Ovis aries: one gene and its partners. The protein of the gene in region 4 interacts with the protein of the main gene of each other region in a pairwise test. Links are inferred from orthologs where the notes say so. Each region holds a gene or a part of one and is shown on either strand. Other genes may lie near its edges.

Evidence for each region.
Region 1: the proteins of CYTH4 (region 4) and IPCEF1 interact in binary tests that used the Homo sapiens proteins (3 or more experiments, as listed by UniProt). The link is inferred for Ovis aries from reciprocal best matches to the Homo sapiens genes CYTH4 and IPCEF1.
Region 2: the proteins of CYTH4 (region 4) and FOS interact in a two-hybrid assay, tested with the Homo sapiens proteins (2 studies listed by BioGRID and IntAct). The two-hybrid records come from large-scale screens. The link is inferred for Ovis aries from reciprocal best matches to the Homo sapiens genes CYTH4 and FOS.
Region 3: the proteins of CYTH4 (region 4) and CNKSR1 interact in binary tests that used the Homo sapiens proteins (3 or more experiments, as listed by UniProt). The two-hybrid records come from large-scale screens. The link is inferred for Ovis aries from reciprocal best matches to the Homo sapiens genes CYTH4 and CNKSR1.

The regions. Positions count from the first base shown.
Region 1 is NC_056061.1:78,802,015-78,806,625, forward strand, and holds the start of IPCEF1 (interactor protein for cytohesin exchange factors 1), read right to left. Parts: upstream 3,138-4,611; 5' UTR 2,992-3,137; intron 1-2,991. UniProt on the Homo sapiens protein: Enhances the promotion of guanine-nucleotide exchange by PSCD2 on ARF6 in a concentration-dependent manner.
Region 2 is NC_056060.1:84,569,955-84,574,626, forward strand, and holds the start of FOS (protein c-Fos), read left to right. Parts: upstream 1-1,535; 5' UTR 1,536-1,658; coding exon 1,659-1,799; intron 1,800-2,601; coding exon 2,602-2,853; intron 2,854-3,253; coding exon 3,254-3,361; intron 3,362-3,484; coding exon 3,485-4,126; 3' UTR 4,127-4,672. UniProt on the Homo sapiens protein: Nuclear phosphoprotein which forms a tight but non-covalently linked complex with the JUN/AP-1 transcription factor. In the heterodimer, FOS and JUN/AP-1 basic regions each seems to interact with symmetrical DNA half sites.
Region 3 is NC_056055.1:240,656,892-240,661,372, reverse strand, and holds the start of CNKSR1 (connector enhancer of kinase suppressor of ras 1), read left to right. Parts: upstream 1-1,344; 5' UTR 1,345-1,383; coding exon 1,384-1,435; intron 1,436-4,150; coding exon 4,151-4,308; intron 4,309-4,408; coding exon 4,409-4,481. UniProt on the Homo sapiens protein: May function as an adapter protein or regulator of Ras signaling pathways.
Region 4 is NC_056056.1:181,325,372-181,330,162, reverse strand, and holds the start of CYTH4 (cytohesin-4), read right to left. Parts: upstream 3,221-4,791; 5' UTR 3,136-3,220; coding exon 3,117-3,135; intron 105-3,116; exon of another isoform or gene 1-104. UniProt on the Homo sapiens protein: Promotes guanine-nucleotide exchange on ARF1 and ARF5. Promotes the activation of ARF factors through replacement of GDP with GTP.

The DNA of each region.
Region 1 (4,611 bases), on a different chromosome or scaffold from region 4:
TTAAGAGTTAAAATTATGTTGATTTTTTTAACTTTTATTTTGTTTTAACATTTATTTTGTTTTCAGATTATTAGGGTAGTCTCAATATGCTTCACTAATGAAAAATTTGAAAAAAAAAATAGAAAAGCTTGAAGACAAATAAAACTATCATCAGCTATAAACCAAATTGGTGGTGGTGGTGTAGTCACTAAGTATGTCTGACTCTTGTGACCTCATGGACTGTAGCCTGCCAGGCTTCTCTGACCATGGGATTCCCCAGGCAAGAATACTGGAGTGGGTTGCCATTTCCTTCTCCAGGCGATCTTCCTGACCCAAGAATCGAACCTGGGTCTAGTGCATTGCTGGCAAGTTCTTTACTGACTGAGCTATGCGGGAAGCCCATAAACCAAATTAATTATATGTTAATGTATTAACATATGTACCTCAGTCTTGTTTCTCTGCAGTGTTTTACTTAGCTGAAAGTTGTTTCTTCTTTTTATTAATTTAATCTTAGTATATCACAATATTTCATAAACATCATTATATTGATGGTCTTTTTAATACACTATCATGTATTTAACAATCTTGAAAACTAGGCATATAACATTTATTTTTAATCAATAATTCATGAATCATGCTTATTTTGTGAAATTTAGAAAACAGCAAAAAATAAAGAAAAGATAAATTGGTGATTAACTTTGTAAGTGTGACCATAGAGTTTTAAAAACTGAAGGAAATATGTTGTCAACTGCCATTTGGTAAAGATCTATGAGATGGCAGGCACTATGCCACTGCATTTCTGATCCTTACATGACAGCAGAAAAAGCTCATTTTATTATAATCATCACTTTGAAGGTTCAGAGGTCATAGAGCTAGTAAGTGGTGGATACAGACTTTGAACAGCTGTGTCTAATCCCCAAACTGTTTCCCGACTACATCACACTACCTCCCATCATCACCTCCACTTCACGACTTCTTCCACCGCCACCTCCATCACCACCACTATCATCTCTACCATCACATCTATGGATCTTTACCATCACCTTCACCAACACCTCTCTCCATTATCACCACTTTCAACACTATCTCCATCATCAGCTCTATCATGTCCTCCATCATCCCTCCACCACCACCTCCAGCATCTCCACCACCACCTCCAGCATCTCCATCACCACCTCCAGGATCTCCACCACCACCTCCAGCATCTCCACCACCTCCAGGATCTCTACCACCACCTCCAGCATCTCCACCACCACCTCCAGCATCTCCACCACCACCTCCAGCATCTCCACCACCTCCAGCATCTCCACCACCTCCAGCATCTCCACCACCTCCAGCATCTCCACCACCACCTCCAGCATCTCCACCACCTCCAGCATCTCCACCACCACCTCCAGCATCTCCACCACTTCCATCATCATCATTTTCAGCACACATTTCCATCATCAGCTCCACCACCACCTCCGCATCACCTTCATCATCACTGCTCTACCACTACCTCGACCATCATCTCTACCAGCAGCTCAGACTCTACGTCACCACCACCTTCACCACCACCACTTCCATGCCCCCTGCACCTCCACACAGGCCACCATAATGCCACTCTTAAGGTTCCTTATCATCTCTTTTCTATATACCCTTTCTTCTCTTCCCACCTTCACATTCTCCTCTCCTGCTTCACTCTGACCTTTTCCAACCTAGACTTCCTTATGTGCCTGAGTCATAGAGATAAGGCAAACACTGCCAGACTACACTCATTTTATGAACAATCCCATTCAATCATTCATCCATTGCACAAACACTGACTGAGAGCTTAGTATGGGACAGGCACTGTTCTGAGCACTGAAGAATTCAGTAATTTTTCCCTTTGTAGGATTTTCTTCAATCTCAAAGAGCTTATAGAATTTTCTTCACTCTCACACAGCATTTACCCCATTAAACTTGCTTGAGTTCCCAACTCATTCTGCCTGGCCTCCACAGCAGATGGAAAGCAGAAGTGAACTGCTCAAAAAGGATACGCGAGTAAAAAGGAAAGTCTCAGGCAATAGTCATGAAGTAACTTTTTATCACTTATTGCCACAGCAAGCCACCACAGGAAAGAACTTCCTATTTCCATACTGCTTAATGCAACTTGCCTATAAGAGTTCACACATGGACTGTCTTCAGAGAAGATACTTGAGAAATAAAGAGAGGAGAGGGACGTTTAAAAATAAAGAATAAGTATACCAACAAATATACAAACTGAAGTCCTTTTTCTTCTCACTTGCATGATGTGCGCAGAAGGAAACCTATGTTCTTTCTGTTTCTATTTCCAAGTCAAATTTTAATTAGCTGTAGAGGAATCCGAGTCTGTGTATGACTATACGACGCCTAAGAACACACAGGCCCCTACATACTAATAAATTCCACTACTACAGTCAGTAATGCCTTAGTGACTTATAATCCTGTCTCTTACAATTAAGTTTCTTTCACATATTCACAAGCAAAGAAAACCAAATGTTCTAGACGTCCTGGGTAAAAACCTCTGAACCAACATTACCAAAGTTCCCATTTCATACAGAGATATCTTATCAAGCCTGTCTTTTTATCTAAAAGTAAAATCCCCTCCAGCAGTCTGCATACAAAGGAGGATTCTCTACAAAGAACACACCTTCTCAAAAGAGGCTGGCCCCAGAGTGTTTTCCCAGATGAATTCCTCAGGACCCACACACTTGAGGAACTGAGTTTTTCTAAATCATGGTCTGCAGTCCCAGCAGTTATCAATACAACATCTACTATAGAAATAGAAGAAAGGAGAGTTCACGGTTCTCTCCTTCAAAACTCTAACAGTGTCTGTAGTACTGGACTTCCCAACAGCAAGTTTATGAAGAGCTGAGCAAACATGATATCCCAAGAGTCACATCTTACTCACAGCTCACTATTTTAAAGAGAGTGCCAGAATATCCATTGCTTCACCATCTTGAGATGTCAAGCAATGACTTTATACGTCAGCCAAGGAGTGGTTTTACTTACATGCAATAAAAAGAGAGCAAATCCAAGCACCAGCTCTTTATGCCTGATTTCAGAAAATTCATAATACCCTGAGGTCAAGGTTGAGGATTCCTCCATATGCAGCCACAGTTCAGGCAGCTCCACAGGACGACCATTAGAAGCTGGCCAGAGAAAAGAGCTCTTTCAAAAGAAGAGGAAGTGTCATCTCTACTTCCCCAATCTCATTGTTCTTCCTTCTTATTGTTAATAAGCCTTCCTTGATTCCAAAACACACAACACAATTCATGTAAATTAGTTACGTCCCCTCTGTCAGACTCCATTGATCACTAAACACTATTCAGTATGTTCATTTCCAGGACGCACGTGGGAAACAGTACATCGTTTTGCATTCTCATTTTGGAGGCAAAGATGTTTATTTGCAGGCGAGGGTGGGGTGGGGTGGGGTGAGGTCATTTGCAGAGCTGTTCCTGGTGGGTTTAGTTGAAATCCACATTTTTATCATCAGCCTCTCTTAGGCTCAATGTTCTCTTGCATTTCCCTTCTTTCTCACCTCCTAGTGTTCGGATTACTCCTAAATAGATGACACAGAAAAATGTGCAGAAAGTATCTTATGTTAAAAATAAGTCAGCCTGCCTTTCTCCTACAGCATAATTAATAGATTCTCTAACTTTAAAACTTTCATTTCACATGCTCGAAAAGGCAAATGACAGGGGAAAATTAGGGAGACCGGAACTCACCATCAATAAATGCCTGCCCTCAGACTTCTCGTTTTCAATACCAGCATCTTGTCTCCTTAAACCTTCTTGAGGAAAGAACATAATGTCACTGTACTTATGGCCCACTTTCAATGAAAAGGAATCAAGTCATTTGAAACAGGCTCACGACCATGCAGTTTCCCAAAATGTGGTCACTAGATCCTTAGCACATATATTAGTTATCTATCGCTGTGTAACGGACGACCCCAGCACTTAGAGGCTGAAAACAACAGACACCTATTACGTCTTAGTTTCTGAGTGCCGGGAATCTGGACCCAGCTTAGCTGGAGTCTCCACAAGGTTACAGCCAAGGAGTCAGCAGAGACTGTAATCATCTCAAGGAAAAGAAACGCCTCCAAACTCACCCACGTGATTGTTGGTACGATTCAGTTTCTCAAGGGCAATAGGATTGATGATCTCGATTCAGTGCCAGCTGTTACCCCGTGGGTCTCCCTTCAGTCGGTTCAGGACATGGTGGCTGGCCTCATCAGAGCAAATAAGTGAGAGTGAAGGAGGATGAGAATGAGGAGTCCAGCTCCTCTTAAATCCCCATGTGTCACCTTTTAGACCTGATCACAGGCAATTATGAAGGCTCTCCCTGGAAGGCTTCACAGGGATACTGCCTTCCCCGCACCAGACTTGGTGACAGCAGGACCCCACAGCATCTGAGGGGAGTGGTGGTCAAGGTCCCAGGCTCCCTGTCAGTCCTGCTCTGTGGCATATTTACATTCCAGAGTCATTTTACCTGAGGCCTGGGGGCAGGGTTCTCTTCTGGGGCCTCTGCTAGAGGCCTCATTATGAAGGGGGGTAGGGAAATCCCCATTACTCAGTTAGGGCCAGTCTATTCCTGGCCCTCCTCCCACATACCTACATGCACCTCAGGGGC
Region 2 (4,672 bases), on a different chromosome or scaffold from region 4:
GGGAAGGGACATAGGGACCTGTGTCTCTGCGGGGACCTGCGACTTCGCGTCCCGGAGGTGGCTGGCGCGCAGAGATTGAGCCGGGGGCAGTGTGACCCCGGCTGTCCTTTGCATCTGAGCAGGAGGCTAGAGGCGTCTGGGGGTGCTTAGCGCACTCCAAAGCACCTTGACCTGCCCACCAGCACCCCCCCACCACCCCAAAGGCCTGTTTTCCAGGCCACCGAGCGGTGCCTGAGATACCAGCCTCCGAAGATTCCGGCCTGGGCGCTGCTGGGCACGGTCCTTCCAGGCGCCCCCGGTCCAACCCCCCTCCCCCTTCCAAGTCCGCGCTGGAAAATCACCGGCTTTGGGCTCCCAATAACCAGCTTCCTGGGGCGCCGAACCACCCCCACCTCCCCAGCAAGGACTTGTGCTGCCCCAAGTGCTCGCTCCATCCGGTGCTCCGAACTGATGACCTTGTCCACAGAACAACCCCCGCCCCCCCAACACGCCCCGGGGCCCGAGCTCAGAACCAGGCAAACGAATCCTTCAGACATCCTTGTTGAGAGATTCTGCACGATGTTTATTGGCTAGTTTCTCAGGGGTTTGACAGCAACAGTAACATCTCATCTACGGCCAAGAAAAAAAAAAAAAAACAGCAAAAACAAAGCGCCTATCTCCTTAAAAGCAAAACAAACAAACAAAACATATAGAATAAAAAGTACCCAGCATCGTAGATAAAGTAGGTTATCGTATTGTCTTATTTTGGATCCTTCCAAACCGCAGGAACAATCCTAGTAAAGCTGGAGTCCGGGGAGCTTGAGGTGAGGGGTTGAGGGTCCGTTTCCAGAGCTTGCACTGAATTAGGGCTAGAATGGGGAGTGAGGGTAGAGGCGCATTCCTTCGGGGGCCGAGGCTTAACCTGCTTGGCTGCGTGTACCTATGTCGCCTATAACCTGAGCCTCATAACTCTTTCCCGGGTTTCCGTATAGAAGTAAAAGGGCGTCCCCGCCTTCGCCAACCCCATCCTCCCCCAGCCCCGGAACAAGGGTCCGCATTGAACCAGGTGCGAATGTTCGCTCGCCTTCGCCTCCCCTCCCCCCGGCCGCGGCCCCCGCCTCCCCCCGGCGCTGCACCCTCGGTGTTGGCTGCAGCCCGCGAGCAGTTCCCGTCAATCCCTCCCTCCCCTTTACACAGGATGTCCATATTAGGACATCTGCGTCAGCAGGTTTCCACGGCCGTCCGCTGCAGTCGTGGGGGGATCCATCCCCGCGGCCCCTTATCTCGGCAGCTCCACGCGACCCTAGGAACCACGGGAAGACAGGCCGACAAGATCAAGAAACTCGACAGCGCGGGGAACTGGGGGCGCTGCGAGGGCGGCGGAGGCGGCAAATGGGGACCCTAGAAGTAGCCGGGCCCGTGCGCCACCCCTCGGGAGCCGCAATGGTTGCGCCCAGTGACGTGTTGGGCTCATTCATAAAATGCTGTTATAAAAGCGGTGGCTGCGGCGCCTAGTACTCCAACCGCATCTGCAGCGAGCAAGCTTAAGGAGCTGACACAGAGCCTGCGGCGCAGCGAGCGAGCTAGCGAGCGACCGCGCACACCTACCCAGCTCTGCCCGGCAGCTCGCACCTGCCTCCGCCTCTGCGCCCCTCGCCCGGCTTTGACTGCTCGCGATCATGATGTTCTCTGGCTTCAACGCCGACTACGAGGCGTCCTCCTCCCGCTGCAGCAGCGCCTCCCCGGCCGGGGACAGTCTCTCCTACTACCATTCACCGGCCGACTCCTTCTCCAGCATGGGTTCTCCCGTCAATGCGCAGGTGAGGCTGGCTCCGCGCCTCCGCGGGGCCGGGGGGTGGAGGGGTCACCGGAGAGGAATCACCAAGGCGAGATGCTCGGGAAGACGAGTCCGGGACTCCTTTCGCCGGGGGCAGGGAGGGAGGCTTGCCGCGGCCCGGAGCCTCCCTCTCTCGGGAGCTTTTCCGAACTTTGTTCGGAGCGGCCCGCGAGCTTGTCATCAGAAGAATTGCTTCTTCTGTCCCGCGGCAGTCTCTTTCTGAGCTGTGCCCCCCGGCGCGCGCTCGCTGACTGATCTCTGACATTAGCTGGGGCCAAAATGTCCCAAAGCAAAAGACTAGCGAAGTAGAGCCTGGCGCCTCCGGGGGGAGGCGGCCCAAAGCGGCAATCCACACCCCCCCCCCCCTCCGCCACCCCTCCCCTCGCAGCCTGGAGCAGGAAAGGAGGGGTAGGGGAGGAGGGTGAAGCAGGCGGGTGTGTAAGGCAGTTTCATTGATAAAAAGCGAGTTCATTCAGGAGACTCCGGAGCGGCGCCTGCGTCAGCGCGGACGTCAGAGATATTTATAACAAACCCCCTTTCAAGAGAGTGATGCTGAAGGGATAACGGGAACGCAGCAGCAGGATGGAGGAGAAAGGCACTGCGCTGCGGAATTCTTGGGAATAAAGCGGGGAGACCTTTCATTCCCGTTGACCGGCGTGTATAAAGACGCGAGCTGTCCACTGCCGGAGGGCTTCTCCTGCCTCTCTCCCTGCTGCCTGCGGCACTGGGAACTCTGCTCATCCCCACCTGCTCGCTCACGTCAGTTTCCTCCTCTTTCATTCTAGGACTACTGCACCGATCTGGCCGTTTCCAGTGCCAACTTCATCCCAACAGTGACTGCCATCTCGACCAGCCCTGACCTACAATGGCTAGTGCAGCCCACCCTGGTCTCCTCCGTGGCCCCGTCCCAGACCAGAGCCCCCCACCCCTATGGAGTCCCTACTCCCTCAGCTGGGGCTTACTCCAGGGCCGGAGTTATGAAAACCATGACGGGAGGCAGAGCTCAGAGCATTGGCCGGAGGGGCAAGGTAGAACAGGTGAGAGTTCTTGGCACCTTCTGAGGGGGAGGCGCGGGTCGACATTGTGGAGATGGGCAGCATAGGGGTCAGAGTGAAGCCACTGATGCATTGACTGGACACCCCAAATGGGAATCCCTGGCTCCAAGCCCTTTCCATCCAAGTCAGACTCTGATAGTCTCACCCTAAGAAATGCCCTGATGTATAGTTTCTTCCCTTGTAGTCTGGGTTCTTCTTGGCTCTTTCTGAGATTCTTATTTTAAATGCAAGTCACACCCAGCTTGCAACTGCAGGTTAGAAATGGCTTCACAGAAGAGGTGCCAGGAGCTAGGAAGCTGCAGGAGCTGGTTTCCCTGGGGTGGGTGAATGAAGCTAATGGCAGACACTGTTACTGAATGCTGCTCTTTTTTCCCCTCCCCAGTTGTCCCCAGAAGAAGAAGAGAAAAGGAGAATCCGAAGGGAAAGGAATAAGATGGCTGCAGCCAAATGCCGGAACCGGAGGAGAGAGCTGACTGACACCCTCCAAGCGGTAGGTTGAACCCATGGGTCACTTCTTTTTAAAACTTAAGGGGAAACTTGGAGACCAGACAAAAGGGATCTGTGTCCTTGAGTCAGACCATCTCTTATGCTTTCCTTTGCTCTCTCTTTCCAGGAGACAGACCAACTAGAAGATGAGAAGTCGGCTTTGCAGACAGAGATTGCCAATCTGCTGAAGGAGAAGGAAAAACTTGAGTTCATCCTAGCGGCTCACCGACCTGCCTGCAAGATCCCTGACGACCTGGGCTTCCCAGAAGAGATGTCTGTGGCTTCCCTTGATCTGAGTGGGGGCCTGCCTGAGGCTGCCACCCCTGAATCTGAGGAGGCCTTCACCCTGCCCCTCCTCAATGACCCTGAGCCCAAGCCCTCAGTGGAGCCCGTCAAGAGTGTCGGCAGCATGGAGCTGAAGGCTGAGCCCTTTGATGACTTCATGTTCCCAGTGTCATCCAGGCCCAGCGGCTCGGAGACCGCCCGCTCTGTGCCAGACATGGACCTGTCTGGTTCCTTCTATGCAGCAGACTGGGAGCCCCTGCATGGTGGCTCCCTGGGGATGGGGCCAATGGCCACGGAGCTGGAGCCCCTGTGCACCCCAGTGGTCACCTGTACTCCCAGCTGCACTACTTACACGTCTTCCTTCGTCTTCACCTACCCCGAGGCTGACTCCTTCCCCAGCTGTGCGGCTGCCCACCGCAAGGGCAGCAGCAGCAACGAGCCTTCCTCTGACTCGCTCAGCTCACCCACACTGCTGGCCCTGTGAGCGGGCAGAGAGGGGAGGCAGTGGGCGTGCACGTGGCCACTGCCTGAGTTGGCGCAATACAGAGAGGAGAAACACGTCTTCCCTCGAGGGTTCCCGTAGACCTAGGGAGGACCTTATCTGTGCGTGAAACACACCAGGCTGTGGGCCTCAAGGACTTGCAAGCGAGCATCCCCGTGTGGACTCAAGTCCTTACCTCTTCTGGAGATGTAGCAAAACGCATGGAGTGTGTATTGTTCCCAGTGACACATCTGAGAGCTGGTAGTTAGTAGCATGTGGAGCCAGGCCTGGGTCTGTGTCTCTTTTCTCTTTCTCTTTAGTCTTCTCATAGCATTAACTAATCTATTGGGTTCATTATTGGAATTAACCTGGTGCTGGATATTTTCAAATTGTATCTAGTGCAGCTGATTTTAACAATAACTACTGTGTTCCTGGCAATAGTGTGTTCTGATTAGCAATGACCAATATTAAATTAAGAAAAGATATGACTTTATTTTCTAGTAGATAGAAATAAATAGCTATATCCATGTACTGTAGTTTTTTCTTCAA
Region 3 (4,481 bases), on a different chromosome or scaffold from region 4:
GCCACATGTATGTTAATTCTAAACTCACGTGAAACTGATTCTGGCTGATTCCAAAGTCCTGGGTGTTCCCTGGCCTGGGATGATAATGATGATGATAACTGCAGACACTTAGTATGTGTCCGACATTGTTCTAAAAGAAAAGCTCAACCTGGGCTTCTCATCCCATCAACTTGGATGGGAAAAAAATTATATATTTATTTCCACTGACCTCTAACCAAAATTTACCATCTCCTTCTTTATAGATTGAAGTATTAGCAGTATCTGTGGTTTTTGCCACCAGTAGATATCAAATTGTAGTTATCACAAGTATCTCAAAACGTTACTTATGCTCATTAAAGATTTCAAAATGCTGATAGTTATTAACCCACTGCTAAGTCACACTCTTTCAGACGCTCCTAAAACAGAGCTGCCATTGACTGTGGCCAGTAGAGGGTTAGTGGCCAAATGGTGAATCCACCTGCTCTTGCGTTATGACTCAGATTCTCAGTCTCTCACACGCCCTATCTGTAGTTGTTTGCTGACCAATAGGTGTGAGGAGGTGAGTCAGAGACCACCCCCACAATTCAGTGTTATTCATGCTGAGTAACAATACACTGATACCACTAGAAAAGGAAATTTTAATTTGCCAGTCCTGTTAGTGATACATATTAAATACATATTACTATATGTACTGATAAATGCATATTACTATATCATAAATTTGTGGGTTTTAACATATTTTGATAGTAATTGTCCTCGCAATCTTCAGCATTTTGCTTTTAAAAGCAATGTTCTGAGAAAAGGTCTAGGGTTCCCACCAGACCGTCAAAAGGGTCCACAGTGCAAAAAAAAAGAGGGGTCCGGAAACTAGTTCTAAAGGTTTTAGAGCTATTAATTCAGGTACTCCGCACAGCCCTCTGAAGTAAACGCTAATACCCATTCTACAGACAGGGAAATTGAGGCCCGGTGGGTCGGTTTAGGCCTTGTCACACAAGGTAAGAAGCTGCAGCGTTGGGGTTTGGATCCAGGCTGTGGCTTCCTAACCTTCTGTGCCTCGCTGCTGTGATCACTGCTCACTTTTTGGTGAAGGCCGGCCAGCCGGAAGGTCAGGTCGCATCCTGCCATTTGAGGCCAGTTTTGGGCGGGGATCCCAGGCCAGCTCCGAGGTCATCCGTGTCACACACCAGTGGCACCGCCCCCAGGTTTGGGATGCCTGAGGGCGGGCAGGAGATGGAGAGGCCAATGGCTGTGAGAGCGCCTCACCTGGCCTGCTTCCTGGGCCCAGGTATGCTAGTGGCTCCGCCCCCGGCCCTGCCCAGCCCCGCCCCAGGTCGGGGCTCCGGGAGCGGAAATTCCTGCGCGGGCGAGGCGGAGCGGGTGCCGTCCGAGAGGCCGAACTTGACCATGGAGCCAGTGGCGACCTGGACCCCCAGGAAGGTGGCGGCTTGGCTGAGAGGTGGGTGGGGCCGGGGCAGTGCTGGGCCTGAGGGGCCTGGGCCGGGGAGAGCGGAAGCAAGAAGGACCTGCCGAGTTTGTCGGTCGGTTTGTCCGTCCGCAAGTATTTACAGAGCGTCTGCCGTGAACCCGGCGGAAAGATAGTCGAGATGACTCCGGTGGGGTCCCCCGAGGACCTAGAAGGGGTCTGCCTTCCCCTCAATAGCCCAGGCAGTGGTTCTGTAATGAAAACAGAAGGTGTCGCTCCAGCTGACCGCCCGCAGTGTATCTCATCTTCCCTCTGCCCACGGGGCGCAGTGGGCTGTAATTCATCCCACTTTTCAGATGCTGAACACTCTGCACTGAGGCAACAAGTGATCTGCCCAGGCTTTGGACTAGGGCCTGCCCGTGGTGTCTTTTCCCTCCCCCCACCCCGAGGCTCCCAGTGAGAGCAGAAGCCCAGGCCCAACTGGAGGGGGTTGGTACAGCCCCTTCTGAGACCTGCAGGGAGGATGAGCCCAGATGGGTGGGAAAGGGCCCAGAGTGCCAGGGGACTCAGAGAAGTGTAGATGGTCTGCTGTGGAGCCGGGAGCTGGGAGGTGAGGACCACATTCCTCCCACAGGCGGAGCCAGAGTTGGAGGGGGGCAACTGGAGTCATCTGGGGACAGACTCAGGATGACCATCCCCGGGAGGAGCAGGGATTCAGGCCTGGAGTCAGTCTCCCAGATTGAATTCCAGGCCCAGCCCCTCTGCTCATCAGTTCTGTGGCCACAAGTCTCCATTTCCCTATCCACAAAATGGGAAAGGCAGTTCTGATGTCTTGAGGTTGGACCAAATAAGACAATTGTGATGAGGGCCTGGCTCAGCGTCAGGATCTGTTGGGAGGGAGACAACACAGCATATTCACCGAGCATGGGAAGGGAAGTGCCTGAGGCCCACGGCTATGGAGTAAAAGCTCCTGAACTCCTAGTCAAGGGCTCCTGATGGCACACAGGGGATGGGGGAAGAGCTATTGGTCACACACACACACACCGCGTAAAGAACTCTGGCTTGGAATGGCAGGGGTTCCTTCAAAGAGGGAGAAAGCTAACTGTTAACCTCTATGTATGTCTTTTCCCATCTGTAAAATGGGAATAACAATATCTGTACTTTCTAGATTTGGTGAAAAGTGTTAATGTGTATAAAGACCTTTAATTTTTCCTAGCACATAGTATTTATTTTTGAGTGTCTGCCTTATGCCAGGCCTCGGCCAGAATTAGAGATGAACACTTGTTTTAAGGCCCAGTCCTTGCTCGTGTTCGAGTAGGAGAGGTTGGTGCTCTGGTGCAGGGGTCTGTGGAGGCACAGGGGGCAGTGAGTGCAGCAAGAGGCCCCAGCCCAGCCTGGGGAGTTGTGGAAGGCTTCCTGGAGGAAGTTAGATGACCAAGGACATGAGGGAGCTGGAAAAGCAGTTCAGGCAGAAGGAAAGACACCTTCGGGGAGCGTGAAGCAAAAGCAAAAGAGCCTGCCGAGAGCTGCAGGGAGTTAGTGCTCTGGATCTAGAGTGTTGAGCTTGACAGGCTATGCCAAGAGGGGAGACTGGAGAGGCAGGTGGTGGCCGGATCGTACAGGGCCTTGCAGATCATGGTAGAGAGTCTGGCAACACATAGTATGGGGGCTGTTATTGACTGAACCAAGGGAGTTGGTCAAGCGTTTGACATGTGGCATGTCATTTAACAGACATGATTAGAAGTGACGTGTTTTTATTTTCCCCATTTTTTTAGGTGGAAACAGGCACAGAGTAATTCAGTTACTTGCTCAGTTGCTATCACTCAGGTCTCCCTGACTTCAAAGCCACATCAATCATGACTTGCCCAAGCATCAGAACCCCTGCAGGATTTGTTAAAAAACACATTGCCGGGCCCTGCCCCTGAGTTCACGCCACTCGGCTTGCAGGATCTTATTAATAGTTCCCAGACCAGGGATTAAACTCAGGCCCCTGCAGTGAAAGCTCAGAATCCTAACCGTAGTCCCAAATTGACTGTACATTCTATCCCCCAAACTGATTTATAAATAGCTTATACCTTTGGACCACCTTCACCCATTTCCCCCACTCCCTGCTTCTTGCCTCTGGCAATCATCAGTCTGTTCCCTGTTTCTAAGAGTTTGCATTTTTTGGATTCTGTATATGAGATAATACAGTGTTTGTCTTTCTCTGATTGATTTCACTTAGCATAATACCCTCAAGGTCTATCCATGTTGCAAATGGCACGTCCTTCTTCCTGGATGAGTATTTGTGCGTGTGTGCCCGTGTGCGGGTGTGTGACATTTTCTTTACCCATTCATCTGTCAGTGGACACTGAGGTTGTTTCCATGTCCTGCCTGTTTTTCTTTTTTATGGCCACACCGCATGACTCATGGGATCTTAGTTCCCCGACTGGGATCAAACCCAGGCCATGGCAATGAAAGCACTGAATCCTAACCACTGGGCCACCAGGGAATTTCCAGAATTTGCATTTCTAACAAGTCCTCTGATGAGGCTGCTGCTGCTGCTGCTGGTCGGGGGAAGCATCCTTTGAGAACCGCTGTCCTGTGTGATCCTACTTCTCAACTCAGTAGTAGCCTTATCTGTGAAATGGGCAGGACAGAACACAGCCTTGGTCTCAGGGTTGGCATTAGGAGAAGGGCTCTTCCACTGACCGGAAAGGCCTTGACAACCCCCTGGGTCCCCCGCGCTGACCCCTGCTCTCCCTCCAGGCCTGGACGATTCCCTGCAGGACTACTGCTTTGAGGACTGGGAGCTGCCTGGCAAGTACCTGCTACAGCTTTGCCCCCGCAGCCTGGAGGCTCTAACCGTGTGGCCTCTGGGCCACCAGGAGATCATTCTGGAAGGGGTGGAACAGCTTCGGGCGCTGGTGAGTGAATGGCGGCCCAACTGGCTGCAGCTTCCGCCCACCCTGGGGATGCTGATGGGGGCTGGCCCCTGCCAGAGTAACCTGCCCCCTCTCTGCACAGAGCTCAGGGCTACAGTCAGAGAACCTGCAGAGCCTGACAGAGGGGCTGCTGGAGGGAACCCGGGCATTCCAGA
Region 4 (4,791 bases):
AGCAGAGGGCACTGAGGTTCAGAAAGGGTGGCAAGGGCGCAGCCTGAGAGGGGTCACTGCTGATTCCAGTCCAGGTGATGACGAAGTTTCAGGCACTGGCGCAGCTCGAGGCAGATGGATTTTTAATAATAATAAAAATAGTGACAATAACGATAAAAAACACAAGAATATTAAAATATTAGTAACAACTGCCGCTGCCATGAGATCTGTTTACCCTTCACTGGGCTGTAAATCCACACCTCTGGAAGGCCGCCTTTGCCAACGACTCCTCCTCACCAAGCTGGGCTGTCCCCCCACCCCCGCCCCGCCTCTTGCGCTCCAGGCCCAGGCCGGCTGAGTGTGCCCAGGTGCCGCCCCAACCAGCTCCCCAGCTCCTCTCTACTTCCCCTTTGTCCTTCCTCTTTCCCAGCATATTTTTAGAAATCTGCTCATAGCCCCACTTCCAGGACAGCTGGACCCGCTTCCCCTTTCTAGGGCAGGAGGGGGTGCGATCCGCGGGCCTTGAATCCAGCAAGGGGATCTGGGGTGGGGGGCGGCCAGCAGAGCTACACTCGCCCCAGCCCCTGAGGCCCTGTGCGCCCATCGCATCGTGTGGCTTCCTCCCCAGCCCAGCTGCCTCTATTTTTAACCTGCAGTCTTGCTGCACCAGCCCCACGGCTGCCTTTGGTCACACCGGGGCTTTGTTGCCCAGACCGCTCAGCGTTTCAGCAGACCTGGGGGAGGGGACCTGCGGGTATCAAACACCCACAGCTGGAGGTGGGGAGGCAGCCCCTTCGCCACCATCCCATCCATTGTATGAGTGGGGAAACTGAAACCCACAGAAGGAAGAGGCCCATTGTGACCTCTGGCAGGTTGGTGCAGAGGTGGGATCTGAACCAGGTCGCTTCCCTAGGTCTTGCTGGGATGATGGTGCCCACTTAGAGATGACACACCTGAGCTCAGAGAGGGAAAGTCACCAGGCTGTGAAGGAGCGCCAATAAAGACCCAGTCTAGGTAGCAGAGAAATGACCTTTCTTCCCTTCATTTCCTCCAGGAAGTCCTCCCAGATCGCCCTTGCCCTGGGTGGAAAGTGTCTCCCTCCCAGGCTGCAGGTCTGTGCCCCTCTGCGCATCTGCCCTGGGTCACCGTCCTGCAGGATTTTTCTTCCTCTGCCCCACATGCCAGACCAGCAGCTCCCTCAGGACTGGGCTTGTGGCCTGGTCATTGCTATCTCCAGCATCGCACAGCCCAGGACCTGCACACCAGAGGACTGCTTATTGTATGAACGAATGAATAGGCGAACTGATCAATGGAATCCTCAGATCTCCCAAGAGACTGCCTGCAGTGACTCCGCTGGATCCCTGTCCTTCCAGGACCAGCCTGAAGCAGAGACTCACCTCTTGGCCTCCCTGGGAGGCCCCGCCCCTCCTGTCCCTCCCCCACAGCCCAGGCTAAACTGGGGCTCTCGCTCCTCTCAGATCTTGTCCCTATTCTGCCACTTATTGGCTGCCTGACTTTGAACAATTCCATCCTGTCCTCCAGTTCACCTCTGTGAGCTTCAGTCTCCTGAGGACAATCTCCTTGCGTGGTGGAAACAAACCATCCTAAAGATTTTTGTGTCTGAAGACCCCAGGAATAATGGTGCAAAGACAGGTAGTTGGGGGGCAAGAATTCACTGTCTCCCGTCACCCTCGCAGCTGCTGAGTGACCTTGAGCCTGGCACTGCTCCTCCTGGGGCTCCTCTTGCCCCCCTAGTTGCCACTAAGATGTGTTCACTGAAGACATACACTCCATGAGCCACCGGGCCCCAAAAGCCCCCAGGAGAAGCACAAGGGCTGCGGTGAGAGTGCTGAACAGGCAGCCGGGAGGCGTGGAGTCATCCTGCCTCAGCAAGACTGTGTCCCCCCTTTCGTTCCATGTGTAAATGAGGGCTTCCCAGGTGGCTCAGGGGTAGAGAACCCGCCTGCCAATGCAGGAGACTCAGGAGACATGGGTTCAGTCCCTGGGTTGGGAAGATCCCCTGGAGGAGGACATGGCAGCCCACTCCAATATTCTTGCCTGGGAACATCCCATGGACAGAGAGGAGCCTGGCGGACTACAGTCCATGGGGTCACAAAAGAGTCAGACACGACTTAGCAACTGAGCACACAAGTAAAGGAGGGCTGTTGAAACAGATCAGTGGTTCTCTAACTGTGTTCCCCAGAACCCTTGGGGCAAGGGGAGGCCCAGTGGGCGGGATCAGAATGCTCTGTCTTAGGTTTTGTTTGAAGAAAGGGTTCTGTTGCTAACAGGGTTCATGTCATCTGGACCTGGGGAACTGGACAGCTCCAGGCAGTCTGTCTTCTGGAGTTCCAGGCCATGCTAGAACATTCTGAGATGCAGGGCACAGAGGTTTAGTCCCAATCCTTTCTGCATCACAGATACACAACGCAACACAGCCTGGCCCTGCTCTCATACCAGCTGCTCAGCCTCCTTGCCTGCTTACCAGGCAGACTCTCAGCCACAGCCCCTGCTGCTCAACCCTGCCGGTCCCTTCACTGGCAAAGCTGGTGTCCTCAGCCTCCCCAAAGGCCATCATCGCCCACCAGAGGCCAAACGGGCTGCAGGGTTATTATGTCACCCAGACAGTTATCATCCTCACCAACATCATCATCTTCAACACAAACCACCTTTCTCAATTCCACCTCAGGGCCTTTGCACTGACGATTCCTTTGCCTGGAATGTTCTTTCCCCGGAAACTCACATGGATCACTCCCTTCTCTGCTACAAGTCTCTGCTCAAACAGTGCCTCCTCTTGAGGCCTTCTTGGCCACCCTCTCCCATCTTCCTTATCTCACCTTACTGTCCTTCATCCTGCTTGTCACCGTCTGACAGCACATTCATATATTTACTGTCTGTCTCCTCTGGAGTGTAAGCTCATTAGGGCAGGGGCCATGCCTGCTTGGTTTGCTGGACTCCCAGTACTTGCAACACAGCTTGGCGCCTAGCCTGAGCTCATCAAGGTCTGTCGCCTGCTTCTGCATGTCCCACCTGTGTTATATCTATTTATACATGCTGCTTCCTGTGAGGCAGGCACTATTACCCCCATACTATAGAACAGGAAAGTGAGGCCCAGCCAGGTCGGCCCAGGTGCTTACCTGGGTGGCACAAGTCCATTCTGAAGCCCCTGGGGGAGAGTGGCCTGCGCTCCCGCAGCCCGCTGACCCCGCTGCCACTCGGGCTGCTCAGGCAGGGCTGTGTCACCTCAGACACACCAGGCCCTTTCCCGTTCGCCCCGCCCAGCACAGCCTGGGGAGGAAGTCCTGTCTTGCTGGGGTCTGGTGCGCAGGCTCTTGACGTAGCAGTACTTCCTAAAACCGGCAGAGTTTGAGTGGTAGGGATTCTTTGCATTTCGAGTGTAGGCAAGGGCAGAATAGAGGCAAAGGAGGCAGAAAGAGGGATGAGAGGGTGGGTGAAAAGAGAAAGACGGTGACACAGAGAAACACACACACACAGATGAAGATGCTTACTGGAGGACAGAACCTCCCTGCCTATAAACTTAGGGGCCGTTCAGGGGGTTTCCCTCGTGGTCCAGTGGCTAATATTCCCAGTCCCAATGCAGGGGCCCCAGGTTCAATCCCTGGCCAGGGAACTAGATCCCACAGGCTGCAACTAAAGATTCTGCATGCTGCAATGAAGAACAAAGATCCTGTGAGCAGCAACTAAGACCTAGCACAGCCAAATACATACACAATTTTTTTTAAAAAAAGGATCATCCAACTTAGATGGTCCAAGCTGAGCCCCATCAATTCCATCCCATAAACTCTCCTTCACCAACTCTTCCTTGAGCAAAGAAAAATTAATTCAGTGCTAAGCAGGGCTTTGCCTCCCCTCAATGAAATACCTAGTTTTTTCTCATCTAGGTATCCACTGGGCAATATGCAGCCATGAAATTAAAAGACTCTCACTCCTTGGAAGGAAAGTTATGATCAACCTAGACAGCATATTCAAAAGCAGAGACATTACTTTGCCAACAAAGGTCCATCTAGTCAAGGCTATGGTTTTTTCCAGTGGTCATGTATGGATGTGAGAGTTGGACTGTGAAGAAAGCTGAGCGCTGAAGAATTGGTGCTTTTGAACTGTGGTGTTGGAGAAGACTCTAGAGAGTCCCTTGGACTGCAAGGAGATCCAACCAGTCCATTCTAAAGGAGATCAGTCCTGGGTGTTCTTTGGAAAGACAGATGCTAAAGCTGAAACTCCAGTAGTCTGGCCACCTCATGCGAAAAGTTGACTCATTGGAAAAGACTCTGATGCTGGGAGGGATTGGGGGCAGGAGGAGAAGGGGATGACAGAGGATGAGATGGCTGGATGGCATCACTGACTCGATGGACAGGAGTTTGGGTGAATTCTGGGAGTTGGCGATGGACAGGGAGGCCTGGTGTGCTGCGATTCATGGGATCGCAAAGAGTCTGATACGACTGAGCGACTGAACTGAACTGGGCAATATGTTCAGTTTCCCTTTTCCCCCAGCCTGCTAGGAAGCTCCATCAAATCCGAAGCTCTTTTACAGCTGCTCTGTTGTCACACACAGACTTTGAGGCCAGACTCAGCAGTGAGACTCACCCCTGCCATTCAGGACCCGTGGGAACTTGAGTGAGTCATTTATCTGCCATGAACCTCAGTTTACTTAACTATAAAAGGGGTATAATAATCCTTTTCAAAAGCAGAGGCATTACTTTGCTGACTAAGGTCTATCTAGTCAAGGCTATGGTTTTTCCTGTGGTCATGTATGGATGTGAGAGTTGGACTGTGAAGAAGGCTGAGCGCCAAAGA